Saccharomyces cerevisiae S288C: one gene and its partner. The protein of the gene in region 2 purifies or fractionates together with the protein of the main gene of each other region. This does not show direct contact. Each region holds a gene or a part of one and is shown on either strand. Other genes may lie near its edges.

Evidence for each region.
Region 1: the proteins of ENT3 (region 2) and CLC1 purify together in Saccharomyces cerevisiae (affinity purification with western blotting; 2 studies listed by BioGRID, with this or other methods). This does not show direct contact.

The regions. Positions count from the first base shown.
Region 1 is NC_001139.9:830,745-839,349, reverse strand, and holds CLC1 (clathrin light chain CLC1), read right to left. Parts: upstream 6,895-8,605; coding exon 6,193-6,894; downstream 1-6,192. Other genes in the region: PSD2 (phosphatidylserine decarboxylase 2), read right to left, coding at 1-2,208; LSO2 (Lso2p), read left to right, coding at 2,685-2,963; pseudouridine synthase PUS6, read left to right, coding at 3,447-4,661; PEX35 (Pex35p), read left to right, coding at 4,868-5,998; TRS65 (Trs65p), read right to left, coding at 7,153-8,605. UniProt on the Saccharomyces cerevisiae protein: Clathrin is the major protein of the polyhedral coat of coated pits and vesicles. In yeast, it is involved in the retention of proteins in an intracellular membrane compartment, presumably the trans-Golgi. The yeast light chain is important for cell growth.
Region 2 is NC_001142.9:650,631-662,676, reverse strand, and holds ENT3 (Ent3p), read left to right. Parts: upstream 1-6,713; coding exon 6,714-7,940; downstream 7,941-12,046. Other genes in the region: RSF2 (Rsf2p), read left to right, coding at 1-3,760; VPS70 (putative zinc metalloprotease), read left to right, coding at 3,988-6,423; YJR124C (uncharacterized protein), read left to right, coding at 8,439-9,785; 40S ribosomal protein uS7 RPS5, read right to left, coding at 10,099-10,776; IBA57 (Iba57p), read right to left, coding at 11,408-12,046. UniProt on the Saccharomyces cerevisiae protein: Involved in the recruitment of clathrin to the Golgi network and endosomes to form clathrin coated vesicles. Plays a role in the trafficking of clathrin between the Golgi network and endosomes.

The DNA of each region.
Region 1 (8,605 bases), on a different chromosome or scaffold from region 2:
CAAGTCATTTTCTAGAACCAGTTTAGAACGTCTAGCATTTCTAGTTGGTTTGCATGAACGCATGCATCTAGGACATGTCCAGATGCGTTTAAAATTAGTGGATTTTCTCCATGACTGTAGCCCTTCAACTAATTGTGATCTAGTAATGCTCTGGCCGGCCCAAGCAGATTTATTGAAATGCTGAAAGAGTTCAAAAGAATCGGCCATCGTGAATGAACCAAGACGTTCAAGATAGAGCATTACTTGAATAATGTCGAGTCTCTCTAAGTTGACTGATGTGTCAACAGCTTCTTTCCAAAAGCTCTTTTTTAAGAACGGATATGAAACATATTTGAAGCTCGAATATAATACCGGTTGCTTAGGAGCATGTGCTGGCTCAACAGTGAGATCCAATGGTATCTCATAAGGTATCCATTCGTTTTCATGTTGTTGCTGTTGCAGCATATCAAACCAAGCCAGTTCGCATTTTGCAACGTCATCATTGAATGAAAATGAGTCTTTATCAACAACTTTGATACTGAAAGCAAAATTCGTTTCATGGGGAAAAACTTCGAAAGCGGCATATTCATTAAATTCTGGGTTTAAAGTATGTTTTCTCCAAGATGTCTTGAATACTCTTCTACCAAACGAAATAACGATAAATGGATCCATTTCATAATTAGTCTTGGACAACCGATTCCTTAATGCAGGTAAATTTTTGATAGCCCCAATATGCATAAATACTACCCCCATCGCATGTTCCTTTTTCGATATAAAAAAGTTACTTTTTGCTCTTCTGTATAAGTAATTTGCATATGATTTATTATGTTTACCCCTTTGCAGGTGTAAAAGCCGACTCCCAATGTATTCTTTTGATTGAAAATCAGAATCTTCACGCTCATCCTCATTATATATATCAAACTCCTCATCACTTTCCTGTTGGTTTTCAGATTCTTCGTCATCCACTGATGTTATGTCATTTTCCGACACTGCAGGTAATTTTGCAACATCTTCTGGTTCTACGATATCATATTCATCTAAAGCTGTTATCATTGAAGATAGACTGATACGGGTATCTTCGTCGATGTCATGCACATTTATGTCTGGCACATTTGGATGATCTGCTTCTTCAAAATCATTTAGAATATCTAGTTCTTCATCATTTAGCGAAACAACCTCAGATATAGAGTCGAATATAGTATCATTGTCTATATCGTACCTCCTCTCCGTACAAATGCTGCCGCTGCTATTCATATCTTCAATAGATTCCTCAGCATCTATTTCATCCTCGGCATTGACCTCTTCATCGTGGGCTAGATCAGTATCGCTATATGGTTTCTCGCGTCGTATTTCATTTCCACTAACAGCTGAACTATTGCTCAACATATCTTCTAGTGGAGGTGGCAAAGAACTAGAAGATCTCATGCGGGCCTTATTTCTATCTATTCTGCCCAAGTAAGTGTTCAACTCATTTCTCCAAGCATTGAAAGCCTGAAAAGTCGGGGTTCTTTTAACGTTACATTCTAGCTTAAATCCAAGCAAAATATCGCCCACTAGAAAGTTGCAGTTCAAGGAATCTTGGTCTTTCCCTCCTTTCATATCGTATAGATGGTACCGCTGAGCTTCAATTGAAAATTTATAGCTCGTCGTGGTGTCCTTCCTCTTGAATAAATCCAGTAATGAAATTTTTGCTTCACCCAAATATAGATAGCTATTAATCCTATTTTTGTGTGTGGACCCGGGACCTGTTGTTGAGAGAGAAGAGGAAGAATGTGAAGGGGCCGGTGTAGCTGAAGATGATACTGAATTAATTGATGTTGAAGTTTGATTACCTTTGGACGTAACATTCAAATTTCTCGACGAATGAGAGTGAGAACTTAGCCCTGAATTTGACAGTGTCGATGAAGATGTATTTGCAGTGGTTGTCCTTGGTCTACTGGGGGTAGTAGGGGGAGCTCCGGTTGGTAGGGCGTCGTATACTATAATCCTTAACCATTCAGATGTTGGATTTCTCGGAAGTTTGATCCTCAAGGTTTGATTCCAGTGTGTATTTGAGTTCTTGAGCTTGTTCGTCTTTTGACTATAAAATGTATTAGTGGTAACAAAACATACCGGGTTACAATTGAATGTCTTCAAGGCTTCAATATTTTCAGCTTGAATGACATGAATTTTTAAAATTAGCGTTGGCTTCTTGTTCTTGCCTCGCTTTCTGCCCTTAATAATCCTCATCTTCGTCGTTGGATGCTCCTGAAAATCGAGGATTCTTTACCAATTGATACAGCATCAACCACTTTGGGCTAGTTTTAGCATCAAATTGGAATAGTTGTCATATATAAGAAGAATTCCTTGAAGTAGCACATGCGTTAGGGCTAGGATCTCAAGTTTCCAAGAGTTTGACATGTGCCCTGCTTTTTTGTCTTTCTCCTTCTTCCAAACCTCATTTTAAAGTAACATAACCTTTGTATTTTTCATATTAGCCCTTAGTTTTTTTTTACCCTAAAAAAATTTTTTTTTTTTTCTTTGAGTCGTGAAAGCTTTTTTTTTCCAGTTAAAGACCCCTCAAAATGAAAAACTTGTATAATGTTTAAAATAAAGCTGAATAAGTTGAAACTCAAGTTTATATTTAATAGGTAAAAGAATTTATCAATTGAGCACAAAACCTGCCTATACAGGAAATAATAGAATAGCAAAGAGGAAGTAAAAAGATGGGTAAAAGATTTTCAGAATCCGCCGCAAAGAAAGCAGCTGGCTTAGCAAGAAAAAGAGATCAGGCACATGCTAAACAAAGAGCACAAATGGAGCAGCTAGAAGCGGAGGAAGCTTCTAAATGGGAACAAGGTTCGAGGAAAGAGAATGCCAAAAAATTAGAGGAAGAGCAAAAAAGACAAGAAAAAGCAAGAGCTAAAAAGGAGCGCGATGCGTTGCTAACCGCAGAGGAGGAGCAACTGGGCAAGGGTGGCAAGGGTAAAAGAAAAATGAAATAAATTTGAAGAATCTTAGCCTTATAGCGGCTAATAATTGCATATGATAAAGTCATTCCCACTTTATCTCCATAAACATAAAAACGCAAGACAAATAACGACAATAAAAGTAACAGTGGTAATAATAATACTTCTGTATGAGGATGCTTATCTTTTGCGGGTTGAGTACAAAAATACACATGGTAAGAAATCACTGTTCAACGTTATAAGAATAAAGAGGGACGAGGAAGGATAATGCAAGTGTAGTTTACAGTAAAAAGAATGACTTTATGGTACTAATGGTATGAATAGTTGAAATTATGTACATTAGATTTGCATATGTATGTATATATAGCTTGCTGTCATACAAGAAGATTGATAACAATGATAAAAGTTAATGAAAAATTTACTTTTTTTCTTTCATTAAAAGGCAAATAAATGTTTCTTGTGAAAACTTTATTGACGATTGCTCGAGACAATCAGTGGGCAAAAGGATGATTGTCAAGTATGTCAACTATCAAAGTTATTGAGGTATATACACAGAATGGACTGAGAAAGGTACGGCCCTATTATAACAGAAGATCAGCGTTCGTGAAGGGGCGCTGGTTGGGTAAGTTACTAATAGACGTTCTCGTTAGTGAATTTAAACTTCGCCCAAGAGCTTATTATTTGGACCAAATAAGGAAAGGCACATATAGGTTGATCCGAGATGGTGTGCCGCTGGTACCAGATCATCTCATGACTACCATAATCAAGAATCATGATGTTTTAGAAACAACTACGCATAAGCACGAACCGCCGGTAAAACAATGGTGTAGCCAGGAAGTTGAAGCGGAGGATTTACCTGGCAGAATAGCGGGATTCAATATTGTTTTTGAAGATGAGAGTATCCTCGTCATTGATAAACCCAGTGGTATACCAGTGCATCCAACCGGTCAGTTTTACCAGAACACAATTACTGAATTACTGAAGTTACATGGTGTAGATGCTCTTCCTTGTTATCGGTTAGACAAGATCACATCAGGCTTGTTGATATTGGCCAAGAACAGTCAGAGTGCGGGGGAAATCCAGAAGAGTATTCGTTCAAGAGATATGATTAAGATCTACTTGGCAAGGGTCAAGGGAAGATTTCCTCACTCCGAATTGATATTGGACAATGAAAATGCGGCGGAAACGACTTTTGAGGACACTTCCAAAGTTACAGTGGAAATGACACCCATATATTCTATCGATCCAAAGAGACAGTTTCCAGTTGGTTTATCGACATCGAAGGATGCTATTACCAAGTTCTACCCAATAAGATACTTCTCTCATGCTGATGAAACTGTCGTCGCTTGTAAGCCAATAACTGGAAGAACACACCAAATTCGAATCCATTTAGCTAGGCTCGGTCATCCCATCGTCAACGATAGTGTTTATTGTTCGCATATTACAAAATACCCCGAAAGGCTTAAGTTTATAACTCAGTTTCCTAGATGGGAGAATCAGCAGGATTTAGATGCTGAGGAATTGAAAGTGAGGTTTCAAAAATTTGTCGATGAGACAAAAAATAATTGTCGGACAATGGAAACATTTTGTCCTGAATGTCATACTGTTGATTTAAAGGATCCTGTGCTATCAGACCTAGAATTATGGTTGCATGCTTGGAAGTATGAGGAGATTAATGGCAAATTCAAGTTCAAAACAGATTTACCAAAATGGGCACAATTGGACAATAGTTAAACTTTTTTTTGAGCGAACTTTTTTTGTATATAGTTTAGTTACCATTTCCGTACTTTGGATGTAAATTAAAATTAAAGAGAGACATTATTTTTAGTTGCGAATACATAACAGCGAATGTTCATGGGGAAAAGTTAAAAACCCTATATAAAGCACCACGAAATACACATCGCGAACAGAGCTAATGAGAGTATACACTTGCTAACTATATGAAACACAATCGTCCAAATGGTACTGGGAAAGCAGTTTCTGGCTTCAAGCAGATAATAAGAAGGCTTCTACTCCTCTTGAACAAGAAGAGAAGAAAACAACTCGTCATCATCTTGAAAAGAATAACCCAAGTCTATGGAATAAACCTAGTATTTTATGTCAAAAAATGGAAATTGAAAAAATTACAGGGTGAAAATATTCAAATAAATGATATCATGCCATGGCTAAGAGAGTCTACTATATTAGTCTTGCTGAACATACTATATCCAACTTTGATGAAGTTCCCATTTTTAAAAAATCATTATATTCACTGGTCTTCCATTGTAGGAATATCGTTAATGCTTACCAAGGGTGAGGTACCTTCGTGGATTATCGCACACTTTCTTGTGGAAGCTATAGCCTCCAAATTAAAGATCGCAAAATTAACACAATGGTTGAAAAAAAAAAATTTTTCCCAGGGTACATTAATAAAATTCCAGCAAATTCTTGTGTGTTTAGCGATTATTGTATTATTTGCCAAACTGGACAGGAGTTCGTTACCATTCCGTGTGCTTTTTGACCATAGGCCATTTTTAATAGATTTCTTCACAATCAATGCCATTTTCACAGTTTTGGCAGTATATCACAGAACATTAAAATTCTTTTTTACTTCAGGGACGAAATCAAATAAGAATGTCGGCGGCCACGAAGTCAGGAACTTTTCTCAATACCTTGGGGTCAAGAACCATAATGATTGGCCCATATCTTCATCAAATTTGAAGCATGTAATGGACAGACTAAATGAAATACATGAAGTTACAATTGATGATAATTATGCAAATATAAACGAAAAGATAATAAATTCATATTTCACCAAGGGTTTTTTTCCAAGTCTAAAATGGACTATATTAAGGCAGTGTATCGAATATTTATTCGTCACGAAAAGGCGCAGATTAATGGGCAACAAATTGCGGTGCATCGTGATGCTTCTTACATTCACCTTCGTGGATCCAACAAGTAAAATGAAAATCAGCCCATTTTTCGCAAAATTCTTTGCGAAGTCCTTGGTTAATGTTTACTTGAAAAAGTATTGGCATTGCAACTTTGGGAAATATATACTATTCTTTTTGTTTCAGCTTAGTATTATGTGATGTGTTTTTTTAGAAGAGAAGAGTTTACAAGTTTGTAAATAATCTATATTATAGTTGTCTTGATAAATGAATTTACAGTATGAATTAGTTATTTACTGAACCTATCAAGTATGATACTCATGTATGACGGGAATGATAGGGAATAAGCCCCTTCTCTTCCTTAGTTCATTATGGTTCTTATTATTCATCATCATTTAAGCACCGGGAGCCTTCGCGTTACCTTTCAATCTCAAAAGAATTTCTTTAAGCTTAGACCTGTCTCTACCCCCAATGATATCGGCATCATCTTGGTTAATTAATTGAAGTGCACGATCCCAGGTCGTATTGTCTTGACCAAAAAATTCATCTCTTTTCTTTAAGAAAGCCTCAGCTTCCTTAGCAGCATCTTCCAATTGTTGTTCCTTCTTTTTATTGTAAGAATCGTAAAAATCGTCAATATGTTTGATAGCTTCATCCTGCAATTCCTTTTTTAACTCCTCGTCCTTTAAATCCTTTTCGTGAATCTCTACAGCACGACGTTGTTTCCATTGGTCTACAACTTCAGAACGATCCTCTTTAACGGATTCTGTACTCTGATTGGCACCTTCGAATGTGGAAAAATCATCATCTGCCTCGCCATTGTCATTACCACTAGATACAGTAGCACTACCATTTTGATCGCTCGAGACTGCGCCATTTGCGGAGTTGATATCTGGAAATTGCTCTTCAAAATCCCTAATTTCGTCATCATCTTTGGCGGGGGAAGCCTCCGTTTCCAATATGTCATCCTGTTCAGTCTTGAACTCGTCTCCAAGTATCTCTGCTTCTCTTTTTAAAAAATCGGTGTCGTCATCTTTTTTGTCGTTGGGTGTGAAATCAATGTTTTGATCTTCCAAAGGAGGGAATTTCTCTGACATTATATATATATGTATCTAGTGAAACGGCGGCGTCCTTCAACTGCTCTTTTGGGTGACTCGCAACGCCTAAGTAAAGCTGTAAAACCCTTTTTCTAGCACGTATATTTTCAGTTTAGTTGTTTAATCTTCTAGGTGCCCCTTTCAGTGTAAAAAAATATGGAAGTGTTTCTATCGTGTAATGTGATGATAATAACTTTTTTATAGAAATGTTACAGATTAGTATGTAGTCTATGTTAATAAAATGTATACTTGTTCCGCTTACTGGATTAACACAGATGCGCCATTTCCAACTTCTATAAGTTCATTTGTATTTAAATCCAATACCTTAAGTCCGGAGAGAGTGCCATAATATCCGGACATAATACCAATAAATCGTAAATCCGCGAAGTATGTTTCTCTCGGAGGTACAACTGGAATTTTGTAATCGTTGGATAATAGTATAATCCCCTCCGCAATTTTTCTATATTTATTATGCAGTTGGTACTGATTTTCCAGTGTCAAGGGCGAATTGGGGATAGTCCCATTATTCATGCCACAGTTGTTTATACCATTGCTGTTACGTACGTTATTAGCTGAAGGGATTGGGTTTATTGTATTGTTATAATACACAACAAGATCCAGGGGGGATGATGACGAGTTAATGATCTGAAGCCTCATAGTAAACTTTTCGCCCTTAATAACTTTTATATTGCTATTAATAAACTTGAATTTTACATTGCTTAATTTGCTATTCACCAATGATGTAGTCGAAGCAGCTCCAAGACTAAATCTTGAGGAGGAAACCCCACCTAATCTTAGATTGGCCAAACCACCAGAATTAACGTTGTTGGCCGCACCATTAAAAGAAGCGCTATGATTGGTATTATTGTTGTTACTCGAGTATTGAGAAGATGTCGAGGAAATTGGCATAGAACGCTTCAATGTGACTTCTGTTTCCCATGATGTTCTCACAGGTAACTTCAGATTGGGATGCAGCTCGAGTTCGTACGCTAAGGTGATTTTCACACGATGTGGTTGAGTTGATTTGGGTAACAGAACCAGTTTAAAAGTAGCGCTAATGCTATCGTATGAAAATGCAGTGAGTGGCACTTTCAAAGGACAGATTGGATCTAGTTCAATTTGAGAGGTTCCGTCGATTAGTTTATACGATATTTCTTGAAAGTTCAGTTTGAGAAAAGAATTGTGTTCTTGCGGATAAATAAATTTTTTGGTCAGTTGTTCGGATGCTTTAGAAGTTTGAAAGTCTAACGATGATAATATGCAATGCTCAGATTTCAAGGAGATGTTTCTCAATCTCATATTCAAAAGTGAGAATATTGGGTATTGGAGCTTAAGAGTAAATGTATTCGGATTTCTAGAAACGTCCGCTTCGTGGACTTCGCTATTTTTAGAACTAACTCGATGAGTCGCCCTGTTATTTTTCTCCAGATGATTATTAGTATTTTTGGATGATTTGGTGGCTGCAGAAGACCAGGAATAAACTGGCTCAAAACTTGGCAAAATCTCCTCGCTAGAGTACTTATCTAATGTATACTTTGCCTGTGGATCTTGTAATGAATCCTGGTTATTGAAATTTGCATCCACAGATTTATATTCAAAGACAAATTTGATCTGATTATTATAACCATTATTCATAACAACATTTGATTTGAAAAGAATCTTCGAACAGCAGTCGTTTTTCAACCTCCATAGATTTTCATTGTTCTCAACT
Region 2 (12,046 bases):
CGCTGGTCAAGGTATTCTGCCCATTCCTAAAAAATCTCGAATTATTAAGACTGATAAGCCAAGACCGTTCTTGTGTCCCACATGCACTAGGGGTTTTGTCAGGCAGGAGCATTTGAAGAGACATCAGCATTCGCATACCCGTGAGAAACCGTATCTTTGTATCTTTTGCGGTAGGTGTTTTGCTCGTAGAGATTTAGTGCTCAGGCATCAGCAAAAACTTCATGCTGCTCTTGTAGGTACGGGGGATCCACGGCGAATGACGCCAGCACCAAATTCGACTTCTTCTTTTGCCTCCAAGCGGCGCCATTCCGTGGCGGCGGATGATCCAACCGACCTTCATATCATTAAAATAGCCGGAAATAAAGAGACTATTCTACCCACCCCGAAGAACCTTGCTGGTAAGACATCTGAAGAATTGAAAGAGGCCGTGGTTGCCTTGGCCAAATCAAATAATGTAGAACTTCCCGTCTCGGCCCCAGTAATGAACGATAAGCGAGAGAAAACTCCTCCTAGTAAGGCAGGCTCCCTAGGATTTCGAGAGTTCAAGTTCAGCACGAAAGGCGTGCCAGTTCACTCTGCATCAAGCGATGCTGTTATCGACAGGGCGAACACTCCCTCTTCCATGCATAAGACGAAAAGACATGCGTCTTTCTCTGCATCCAGTGCAATGACTTACATGTCTAGTAGCAATAGCCCCCACCATTCAATTACCAATTTCGAGCTCGTTGAAGACGCTCCGCATCAAGTCGGCTTTTCTACTCCACAAATGACCGCGAAGCAGCTCATGGAAAGCGTGTCAGAATTGGATTTACCTCCGTTAACCCTGGACGAACCACCGCAAGCTATCAAGTTTAACTTAAATCTATTTAACAATGACCCCTCCGGACAGCAACAACAACAACAACAACAACAGCAAAATTCCACCTCTAGTACCATAGTGAACAGCAACAATGGAAGTACAGTTGCTACACCTGGAGTGTATCTCTTAAGTAGCGGTCCATCTTTAACCGATCTTTTGACAATGAACTCTGCACATGCAGGTGCGGGAGGATACATGTCTAGCCACCATTCGCCATTTGATTTGGGCTGCTTCAGTCATGATAAACCGACAGTTTCTGAATTTAACCTTCCGTCAAGCTTCCCGAATACTATACCGTCTAATTCTACTACGGCTTCTAATAGTTACAGTAATTTGGCAAATCAAACTTATAGGCAAATGAGCAATGAGCAGCCGCTTATGTCACTATCTCCTAAAAACCCACCAACAACTGTTTCAGATTCCTCTTCCACGATCAATTTCAATCCAGGCACAAATAATTTACTGGAACCATCAATGGAGCCCAATGATAAGGATAGTAATATCGATCCTGCTGCCATAGATGACAAGTGGTTATCAGAGTTTATTAACAACTCTGATCCAAAATCTACCTTCAAGATCAACTTCAATCATTTCAATGACATTGGGTTTATTTATTCTCCACCTTCATCAAGGTCATCTATACCAAACAAGTCACCTCCAAACCATTCTGCTACCTCATTAAATCATGAAAAAGCTTCTTTATCACCTCGCTTAAACTTGAGTTTGAATGGAAGCACAGATTTACCAAGTACACCACAAAACCAACTAAAGGAGCCTTCCTATTCTGACCCTATTTCCCATAGTTCTCATAAGAGGCGTCGTGATAGCGTCATGATGGACTACGATCTATCCAATTTTTTCAGCTCAAGGCAATTGGATATTTCCAAGGTATTAAACGGGACAGAGCAAAATAATTCTCATGTGAACGACGATGTTCTCACTTTGTCTTTCCCCGGCGAAACTGATTCTAATGCAACACAGAAACAGCTGCCTGTTCTTACTCCTTCGGATTTGTTATCTCCGTTTTCTGTCCCTTCAGTATCTCAAGTGCTTTTTACCAATGAGCTAAGGAGTATGATGCTAGCCGACAATAATATCGATTCAGGAGCCTTCCCCACAACTAGTCAATTGAACGATTATGTGACTTACTATAAGGAAGAATTCCATCCATTTTTTTCATTTATTCATCTTCCTTCTATCATACCTAATATGGACAGTTATCCCTTGTTATTATCTATCTCCATGGTCGGAGCATTGTATGGGTTTCATTCGACGCATGCAAAAGTGTTAGCTAATGCAGCTAGCACCCAAATTAGGAAAAGCTTGAAAGTTAGTGAGAAAAACCCGGAGACGACAGAGTTATGGGTTATACAGACATTAGTATTGCTAACGTTCTACTGTATTTTCAATAAAAATACAGCCGTGATCAAGGGGATGCATGGTCAGTTGACGACTATTATTCGTCTCTTGAAGGCCTCTCGTTTAAATTTGCCCCTAGAGTCCCTATGCCAGCCGCCTATTGAGAGTGATCATATTATGGAATATGAAAACAGTCCTCATATGTTTTCAAAAATAAGAGAGCAATACAACGCGCCGAATCAAATGAACAAAAACTACCAATATTTTGTATTGGCGCAGTCACGTATCAGGACTTGCCATGCGGTATTACTTATATCTAACTTATTTTCTTCACTGGTAGGTGCTGATTGCTGTTTTCATTCAGTCGATTTAAAATGTGGTGTTCCATGCTATAAAGAAGAATTATATCAGTGCCGAAATTCCGATGAATGGTCGGACCTATTATGTCAATACAAAATAACGTTAGATTCGAAATTTTCGTTGATTGAATTGTCTAATGGTAACGAGGCATATGAAAATTGTTTGAGGTTTCTTTCTACAGGCGATAGTTTTTTTTACGGAAATGCTAGGGTTTCGTTAAGTACATGTCTATCATTGTTGATATCTATCCATGAGAAAATACTTATTGAAAGAAATAACGCAAGGATCAGTAATAACAACACCAATAGCAATAACATTGAGTTGGACGATATTGAGTGGAAGATGACTTCCAGACAACGGATCGATACAATGTTAAAATACTGGGAAAACCTTTATTTGAAAAATGGTGGCATCTTGACACCTACCGAGAATAGCATGTCAACAATAAACGCCAATCCAGCAATGAGGTTAATAATTCCGGTATATTTGTTTGCCAAAATGAGACGGTGTTTGGACCTGGCACATGTTATTGAGAAAATCTGGTTGAAAGATTGGTCCAATATGAATAAAGCTTTGGAGGAAGTTTGCTATGACATGGGTTCATTGAGGGAAGCTACCGAGTATGCACTGAATATGGTGGATGCGTGGACTTCATTTTTTACGTACATTAAACAGGGCAAGCGCAGAATTTTCAATACTCCTGTATTTGCGACCACATGTATGTTCACTGCAGTATTAGTGATTTCGGAATACATGAAATGTGTAGAGGATTGGGCACGCGGGTACAATGCCAACAACCCTAACTCAGCATTATTGGATTTTTCGGACCGTGTCTTATGGCTAAAAGCAGAAAGGATTTTGAGAAGATTACAAATGAACTTGATACCGAAGGAGTGTGATGTGTTGAAATCGTACACTGATTTCTTAAGATGGCAGGACAAGGATGCCCTAGATTTGTCAGCACTAAATGAAGAACAAGCACAAAGGGCCATGGACCCGAATACCGATATAAATGAGACAATTCAACTAATTGTAGCGGCAAGTCTATCCTCCAAATGTTTATATTTGGGTGTTCAAATATTGGGTGATGCGCCAATTTGGCCTATAATATTATCGTTCGCTCATGGTTTGCAATCAAGAGCTATCTATAGTGTTACGAAAAAAAGAAACACTAGAATATAAGTCCGATTTACAAATATATAATGGCGGCCGTCTCTATACTATAGTATTTACAGAATTAAAGCTTAGAACTATCATAACTTTCATAATATACCACCAGGCTTCAAAAAGGCATTGTTCCATTCGGAGTTTGCTTGAGTTTGATGGCCCGGGTAAAAAGGTTTGACAAGGCAAGGGGCCGTACTTATTAAAACAATTTCAACATGCACAATTAAGAATGTAAGAGATATATGAGAATGATACAGAGAGAGAGAAAGAGAGAGAAAGAGGAAGGTCAATTAAAGGAGAGAACTGTTGTTAATATGGCAGACCCTGATGACAATGAGGCCGAAGCCACTGGATTACAACAATATAGTGGCGAGACCACTCGCGATGACAATGAAGAAAGCATGAATGATTCTTTCACTTTAACATCCAGGAATAGAGGCAGAAGTAATACAATATCTAGTATTGTTAGTGGTTATGAAATAATGAAAGAACATATGGACAAGGAAAAGTTTATGTACTTGATTCTAGCGAGTCTCCTTTTGTACATGGGATTTGTTGCCGCATTTGCTCCCAGGACGTCTTTATCAAGAGACTTTCGGCGGTTTCACTCTTCCAGATTGACGAATGCAGAGGTTTATAGGATATACTTGAACTCCTTGCAACAGGAAAATAGAGCGAAAGAACATGTATACAAGTATGCTGGGTACATGAGCAACGGAGCAAGTGATTCGTCAACGTTTAAATATACCTTGGACGAGTTTCTAGATATGGGGTACAAACCCAAAGTTGAAAAATATTACCCATGGATAGGTGAACCAGTAGACACTAACGTAGCTCCTTTAGAAAATGGTAAAGTGGTCTACGAAGCAAGCATGATCGAGGATAGAGTTAAAGGTGATCCTGCTTCTCACGCTAGGAAAAGGCAAAAGGGTTTCCATCAATATTCAAAAAATGGAAGTGTAACTGCTCGATACGTGTTTTGCAATTATGGTAGCATCAGTGATTACAAGCTACTTTTGAAGAAAAACATTGATATTGAAGATAAAATCCACATCGTACGATCGGGTAAAATATTACCTGGATTAAAGGTAAAGAATGCAGAACTTTATGGCGCTTCCAGTGTCATTATATATACAGACCCATTTGACGATGGTAAAGTTACTGAGGAAAATGGGTTTTTACACTATCCTTATGGACCAGCAAGAAACCCAAGTTATATTAGGAGAGATTCTGTAAACTATTTCAGTGACACTCCAGGAGATCCGACAACTCCAGGGTATCCCTCCAAGGATTCCGACACTGAACATATGTCACCGGTAGGGAGAGTGCCGAGGATACCATCGGTGCCGATGAGTGCTAGAGATGTCCAACCAATTTTAGAAAGATTGAATGGCAGGGGTTTTCAAATTGGGCCCGGTAGTAATATAAAAGATTTTGGATCATTCACTGGACCTTCAAGCTCTATCGATAAAGTCCATTTGCATAATGAGCTAACTTACAACATCAAGGAAATGAGTAGTGTAGAGGTTAGTATCCCTGGTATATTCACTGAGGGGGAGATTATTATCGGAGCTCATAGGGATTCGCTCGCCTCGAGTAGCGCCGGTGATGCAAATAGTGGCAGCGCTATTCTTTTAGAAATTGCACGAGGAATGAGTAAATTACTTAAGCATGGTTGGAAGCCACTGCGTCCTATCAAACTAATAAGTTGGGATGGTGAACGATCCGGCCTTCTGGGATCTACAGATTATGCAGAAGCTCATGCTGCGATTCTCAGGAGAAGGGCCTTGGTATACCTAAATCTAGATAATGCAATCTCTGGGACAAATTTTCACTGTAAAGCCAACCCACTTTTACAAGACGTGATATACGAAGCTGCTAAGCTCACGGAATTTAATGGGCACGAAGACTGGTCATTGTTCGACCATTGGAAATACACTTCTAATGCCACTATTTCTCTACTTGATGGGTTGTCTAGTTACACTTCATTTCAGTACCATCTTGGAGTGCCCGCTGCACATTTTCAGTTTAATGCCAATGATACTTCAGGCGCAGTCTATCATAGTAACTCCGTATTCGATAGCCCAACTTGGTTGGAAAAATTTACCAATTCTGACTACAAGTTACACAACACCATGGCCATGTTTGTAGGTTTGACAACGCTGATGCTGAGTGAAAACGAACTGGCAAGATTCAATACACATGTTTACCTGAAGAAAATATATAACTGGTATATCGCATGGCACTCTAATCTATCTTCAGCATTTCCCCAGGACGATGAAGTGAACAGCTTAGCAAAAAGGGTTCTGGACTTATTAAAAGTTGCCACACAGGAAGATAGCATCCAATTTGACCAACAAAATGGTATTCTCTATAAAGAGTGTAGGGAAGCTTTACCTGTTTGGGCTTTTTACAAAAAAATCAAGAGCTATATTAAACTGCAACGATCCAATAGCAAATCAAAGCAAATTGATCAATTATTTATTACACACAGAGGACTGAAAGACAGGGAATGGATGAAGTACTCTCTTTTAGCACCTAGTAAGTTTGAGGGATCTGTCGGGGAAGTTTTGCCCGGCCTTCACGAAGGATTGGCTGATATTGATAGAAACGAGGTCATTCAGTGGTTAACCATTTTGCTAAGCCAATTCAGCAACGTTCGCTATTTACTTCAATAAGCATTTAAGTACCTCACCTCAGTATATACATTTATTTTATTTGCATACGTAGAGTGACTTTGAATAATAACCATGAGAGGCTTTTTTGTATATACTCTATAAACATGGCTTCAATTTCTTATACATGTCACACCGTACGTTGTGCGAGGTGATTAGGAAAAGTAAAAGGGGACTAGAAGAATCATGAAATGATTTGTAGATACAGTTATTTGAGGAAAGCAAAAATTACCAATTCAGGAAGGTGTAGGGACGTCGATAGGAGATCACATCGTTAATTAGTGTTAGGAAGAATGAGTTTAGAGGATACATTAGCCAACATGTCATTATATGACGCCAAGAAATATTTTCGTAAAGCTCAAAATGTTGTTTTCAATTATACTGAGATGGAGGGGAAAGTTCGTGAAGCGACAAACAACGAGCCTTGGGGTGCCTCATCCACTTTAATGGACCAGATTTCTCAAGGAACTTACAATTTCAGGGAAAGAGAAGAAATTTTGTCCATGATATTCAGAAGGTTCACTGAAAAGGCAGGTAGTGAGTGGAGGCAAATTTATAAAGCCTTGCAATTGCTCGATTACCTTATCAAACACGGTTCTGAAAGGTTTATCGATGATACAAGGAATAGCATTAACTTAATTAGGATTTTAGAAACTTTTCACTATATTGATTCCCAGGGAAGAGATCAAGGAATTAATGTCAGAACTAGGGTCAAAGCTTTGATTGAATTATTGAGCGACGATAATAAGATACGCGCAGAAAGAAAAAAGGCAAGAGAAACGGCAAAGAAGTACAAGGGCGTTGCTGGAGGATCTGCCTCTGCTGATGGCAGTTTGAATTCGAAGGCAGGTTTCACGTCAACGAAAGTGCACGGCATTAGCGTGAGTGCTGATTTCGATAGTGACAATGAAGATAACGAAGATGGTTCTTTTAGTCAAAATGGATATAACGATAATGCCTCGAGAGCCACATCTACTCCTGGGCAAGGAAAACAAGAACCAGAGGACTTTGTTGACTTTTTTTCTAGTGAGTCTTCAAAACCATCTAAAGAACTCATACAAGAAGATGAAAAGAAGGCGGACGAAGAAGAGGACGATGATGACGAGTTTTCAGAATTTCAAAGCGCCGTCCCTGTTACCAACCCTGCTAATTCGTTTAACTTGCTAAACACGAGCCCAATTGAGGGTATGCCCGCCACCACGAGTTCAATGCCTTTTTATAACAGCTCCACTACCGACCAAGGCAAGATTACCCCAGCTATTGCGGAACCTAAAAAAGTAGATCCTTTTAGCTCTCTCTTTTCAACTGCAAAGGCATCTGCAGAAGCACCTAGTGCTCCTAAAGCATCCCAAGCGAAAGCCGCTGCCTCTAATCCTGTATCTAATAGCACAACTGCACTAAGTACAGATCAAGATGATGATGACGAATTTGGTGAAATGCATGGTGGAGCTGTTCAACAAGAACAGAATACCAATAATAACCATACATCATCCAAAGAAATCGATTTACTTTCCTTTTGAGTGATATTATTGGTTTACACAATATGTAAATGTTTTATAACAATAGAAAGTACTTTGTAACAGGTATTACGAACATTACTATCTAATCTCCACTGTATTTCTCCTTTATATGTTTGTCTTGATTTCGTGAAATAGTTTGTGAACATTTTTTTGATCTTTTTTTCGTAAAGAAGGGCCCTTTTCAAATTTATTTACATTTTGGTCATTTGAAAATACTTTACTTAAAAAGACGAGGAAGAAACTGTAAATCCATAGTTCGAGAGTTGAAGTGCCCTTCAAAACAAAAACTCCTGACTTTTTTTGCTCATTTTTAGTCAATGAACTAAAACTCACCTTCCTTCTCGTTTATTTTTGCCTAGCATTATAGAGCAATTATAACTATATATTAAAGTTGACGCACCGAAAAAAAAGGCACGAAAGAAAACTCTACTAATTTTTCACATCTCGAAAAAGCTCATTGCAGAAGGATTTACCAATATTTCTAAAGTTAACGTAACCATGGCACCGGAAATTTTTGTTAAATTCAAGTGTGCAAGTAGAGACATAAAGCTACTATGGGCGTCCGTCTTTCTTAGACTTCTATCATATGGTTTAACAAATCAAGTTTTGACGCTTTTTTTAAATGCCATCAATATGACAGAGGATAAAATTGGGCTGTTTATGTCATTAACACTGGCAGGGGATGTAATTTGCTCTTACATTCTTACTTGGTATGCGGATTCCTGGGGCCGAAGAAGAGTCCTAGTTTATGGTTGTGCAATGATGTTGTTAAGTGGGTTGGTTTTCAGTTTTAGCGAAAATTTCACCCTCTTGCTAGTATTTGCTATCTTCGGTGTTATATCGCCTTCAAGTGATGAAGTCGGGCCTTTCAAATCTATAGAAGAGGCCATGATTGCACATCTGAGTCCTCATAATGCAAGACCAGAGATTTATGCTATTCACGCCTTGGTTGGAACAATTGGAAGCGCTCTAGGTGCAATAATTTGTGGTATATTTGTAGATCTTTTGAAAAGAACTGGTTTAGCTGCTACTGATTTGCAATGTTATAAATTAGTTTTCTTACTGTATGCCTTCTTCGCCTTTTGCAAAATGGTCATCATGCTCTTATTATCAGATGCTACAGAATTGGACGGGCATTATGAACATACAGATTGCAATGAAGAAACAGCTGAACCATTGGACGTTAACGATGAAACTGCACCATTAATGAGACAAGCAACTCACCCAGAAGAAAGATCCAACAAACTATCTAAGGAGACCGTTTCGGTTTTGATGAAATTGTTAGTAATCTTCATGGTCGACTCTCTCGGGTCCGGGTTTATGACAAGTGGCTGGATGGTTTACTACTATAGTAAGCAATTTTTGATGGGATCTCTGGCGTTGGGTACTTTATTTTTCATCACGCAACTGGTTATGGCATCTTCCACCATCCCATCATCAATAATTGCCAGATGTTTTGGCCCAGTAAGAGCCACACTATTGGTCCAAATTCCATCAGGGATATTTTCTATTCTCATCCCTATGGCCAAGAATTACTTGCCCTTATCTATTTTGTTTTTGAATCTGCATTTTGCAACAACTGCCATGGACGTTACACCAAGGCAAATTCTATTAACAAATATCATCAAACCAAGAGATTTAACCAAAGTTATGGGGGTGGTCAACATTGGAAAGACATTTGCTCGGTGTGTTGGTCCAATATTCACGGGTATACTTGCTAACAATAATTATTTATGGCTATGTTACATCATTAGTGGGTCCTTGGTGATAACGGCGGATCTAATACTGGCATGCATGTTTTTAGGAGTGGACGCTAAAATTAAAAAGCAAATGAACCGCCATTAATGCAGCAGCAAATGTAGAGTGACTTAGAAACATGTGTAGATCATTTCAAGGAAACGTTACGTTTAGAGACAATGTAAATAGTACCCAGTTAAAGTATCTGACACACGAGGAAGTACAACCAATAGCATTTATATTTACTTGATAGATTTGCGTAAGATATATTATTTAAAAATTGATAGTCCTATTTTTTTTTACATCAAAAGATAAGATTGTATTATGTTATAAATTTAAACAATAGAGTGTACAAAGAAGATAAAAGTAATAATAAGAAAAACATATGTAATATTGAAAATCTTTCACTTTTTTTAGCTTCTTAACGGTTAGACTTGGCAACACGTTCCAATTCATCCTTCTTCTTGATAGCGTAAGAAGTAGAGGAACCCTTAGCAGCATTGATCAATTCTTCGGCCAAAGTTTCAGCAATGGTCTTGATGTTTCTGAAAGCAGCTTCTCTGGCACCAATGGTCAACAAAGCAATAGCTTGGTTAACTCTTCTCAATGGAGAAACATCGACAGCTTGACGTCTAGCAGCACCACCACCACCGACTCTGGTGGTGTCTTCTCTTGGACCAGTGTTGGTGATAGCGTCAACAACAACTTGGATTGGGTTTTGGTCAGTCAAGACATTGATGATGTCCAAAGTGTGCTTGATGATTCTAACAGCCTTTAATTTCTTACCGTTGTTTCTACCGTTCATCATCAAGGAGTTGGTCAATCTTTCAATGATTGGACATTGAGCCTTTCTGAATCTCTTGTTGGCGTAACGACCAGCGGTGTGAGCAACAAAGATTGGTTGTCTAACTTGAACGTAGTCAACCAAAGAAGCATCCTTAACTTCAACTTCTTCAAAAGACCATTTGTTGAACAACTTAATCTCGGTTTGAGCTTGTTGGACTTCTTCTGGAATTGGAGTAGCCAAGACGACTGGGGTGAATTCTTCAACAACTTCGAAATCTTCTTGAACTTCAACTGGAGCTTCGGTGTCAGACATCTTTGGAATGGTCGGTTATTTCTAGTCTCTTTTCTTGGTATTATGAAAGGAGTGTAATTAAAATAAAAAGTAATTTTAATTCAAAATGAAATTTTAAGTATTGATAAAAAGTACAAAATATTTTAGAACTAATGGGCACATTGTGGATAATCCATTACCTACTAACGTGAGCGTAGAAGTTGGCCCAAGGTGGAAGGGTTCAGTGAGACCTCCACTAAGCCTGCGGCGAAGGTAGGGGAGCTTGCAAAGGAGATTTCCCAGCAAAGGGGCAGAATTAGACGGGCCCAGTACGGTAGAAAGAAACAAGGCTTTACGTTCTGGGCGGGAGAAAAAGAATTCTCCTTCCCCGTAGCAGGGCGCGAAATGTTTGTTACCATGAATTAGTTTCTGGAAAAAAACTGATGCAGGGCCATTCTCATCTGAAAAATAAACTTGAGACAAATATGTATGGGTTAAGAATAATTATGGGTATATGGGTGTTGTTGTATAAAAGGTCTTGATAAGGAATTACGTAACAAATGATATGCAAATTTGAGAACTCAAGGCTGTTCATTGTTTCTTATTTGTATGCATATATCTATTTCCTATTTGCATATTCACAAGTAGTATTTACAAGGTGTTTTCGTGAAATCTATTTATGAGGCCCGTTATTGTTTTTCCAGTCGCTAAACCAGAATGGTTTTTGAGGTGTTATTTTAATATTTTCACCCTTCGTTGTAGTAATGTAAAATTCGACTGGCTCATCAGATGAGAAGGCAGCAGAGAAATGCTCTGTTCTAAGTAAAGCTACGCCATACAGCCCTTCATTAGAAATCAATAAGCCTGCCGGCCTTTGCTTTCTCTTGGTTCGTTCGGGCGGTTTATTGGTAAATGGATTGAGGGTTGGCTCGTTCTCTGCAAGGCTCTTTTCTACAACGTTGTCGATATGGAATTCTGCGTACTTTCTTTCTGGGTCTGTATCTAAAAGTTGATAATTATCCAGCTTAACTGGGACCAAACGTTTCCGTAGAATGCCTGTAGCATATGTCCTGGCTGTCAGCTCTTGTCCTACATAACATCCTTTGTTTGTGCTTATAGTGTTTGGAAAAAAATCAAAGTTTAGTTCCAAAGGTAGCAAAGTCTCAGATATGTAATCCTCAGTGCTATCTATAAGACCTTTTTGAAATCTGATTTCTCTAACTTGAACGGAAGCTTTTTTATTTACTTGAAAAGGGAAGTCGAAAACGTTAAAGTTAAATAGCTTAGAGAGATCATCCACTTGCTCGGAAGT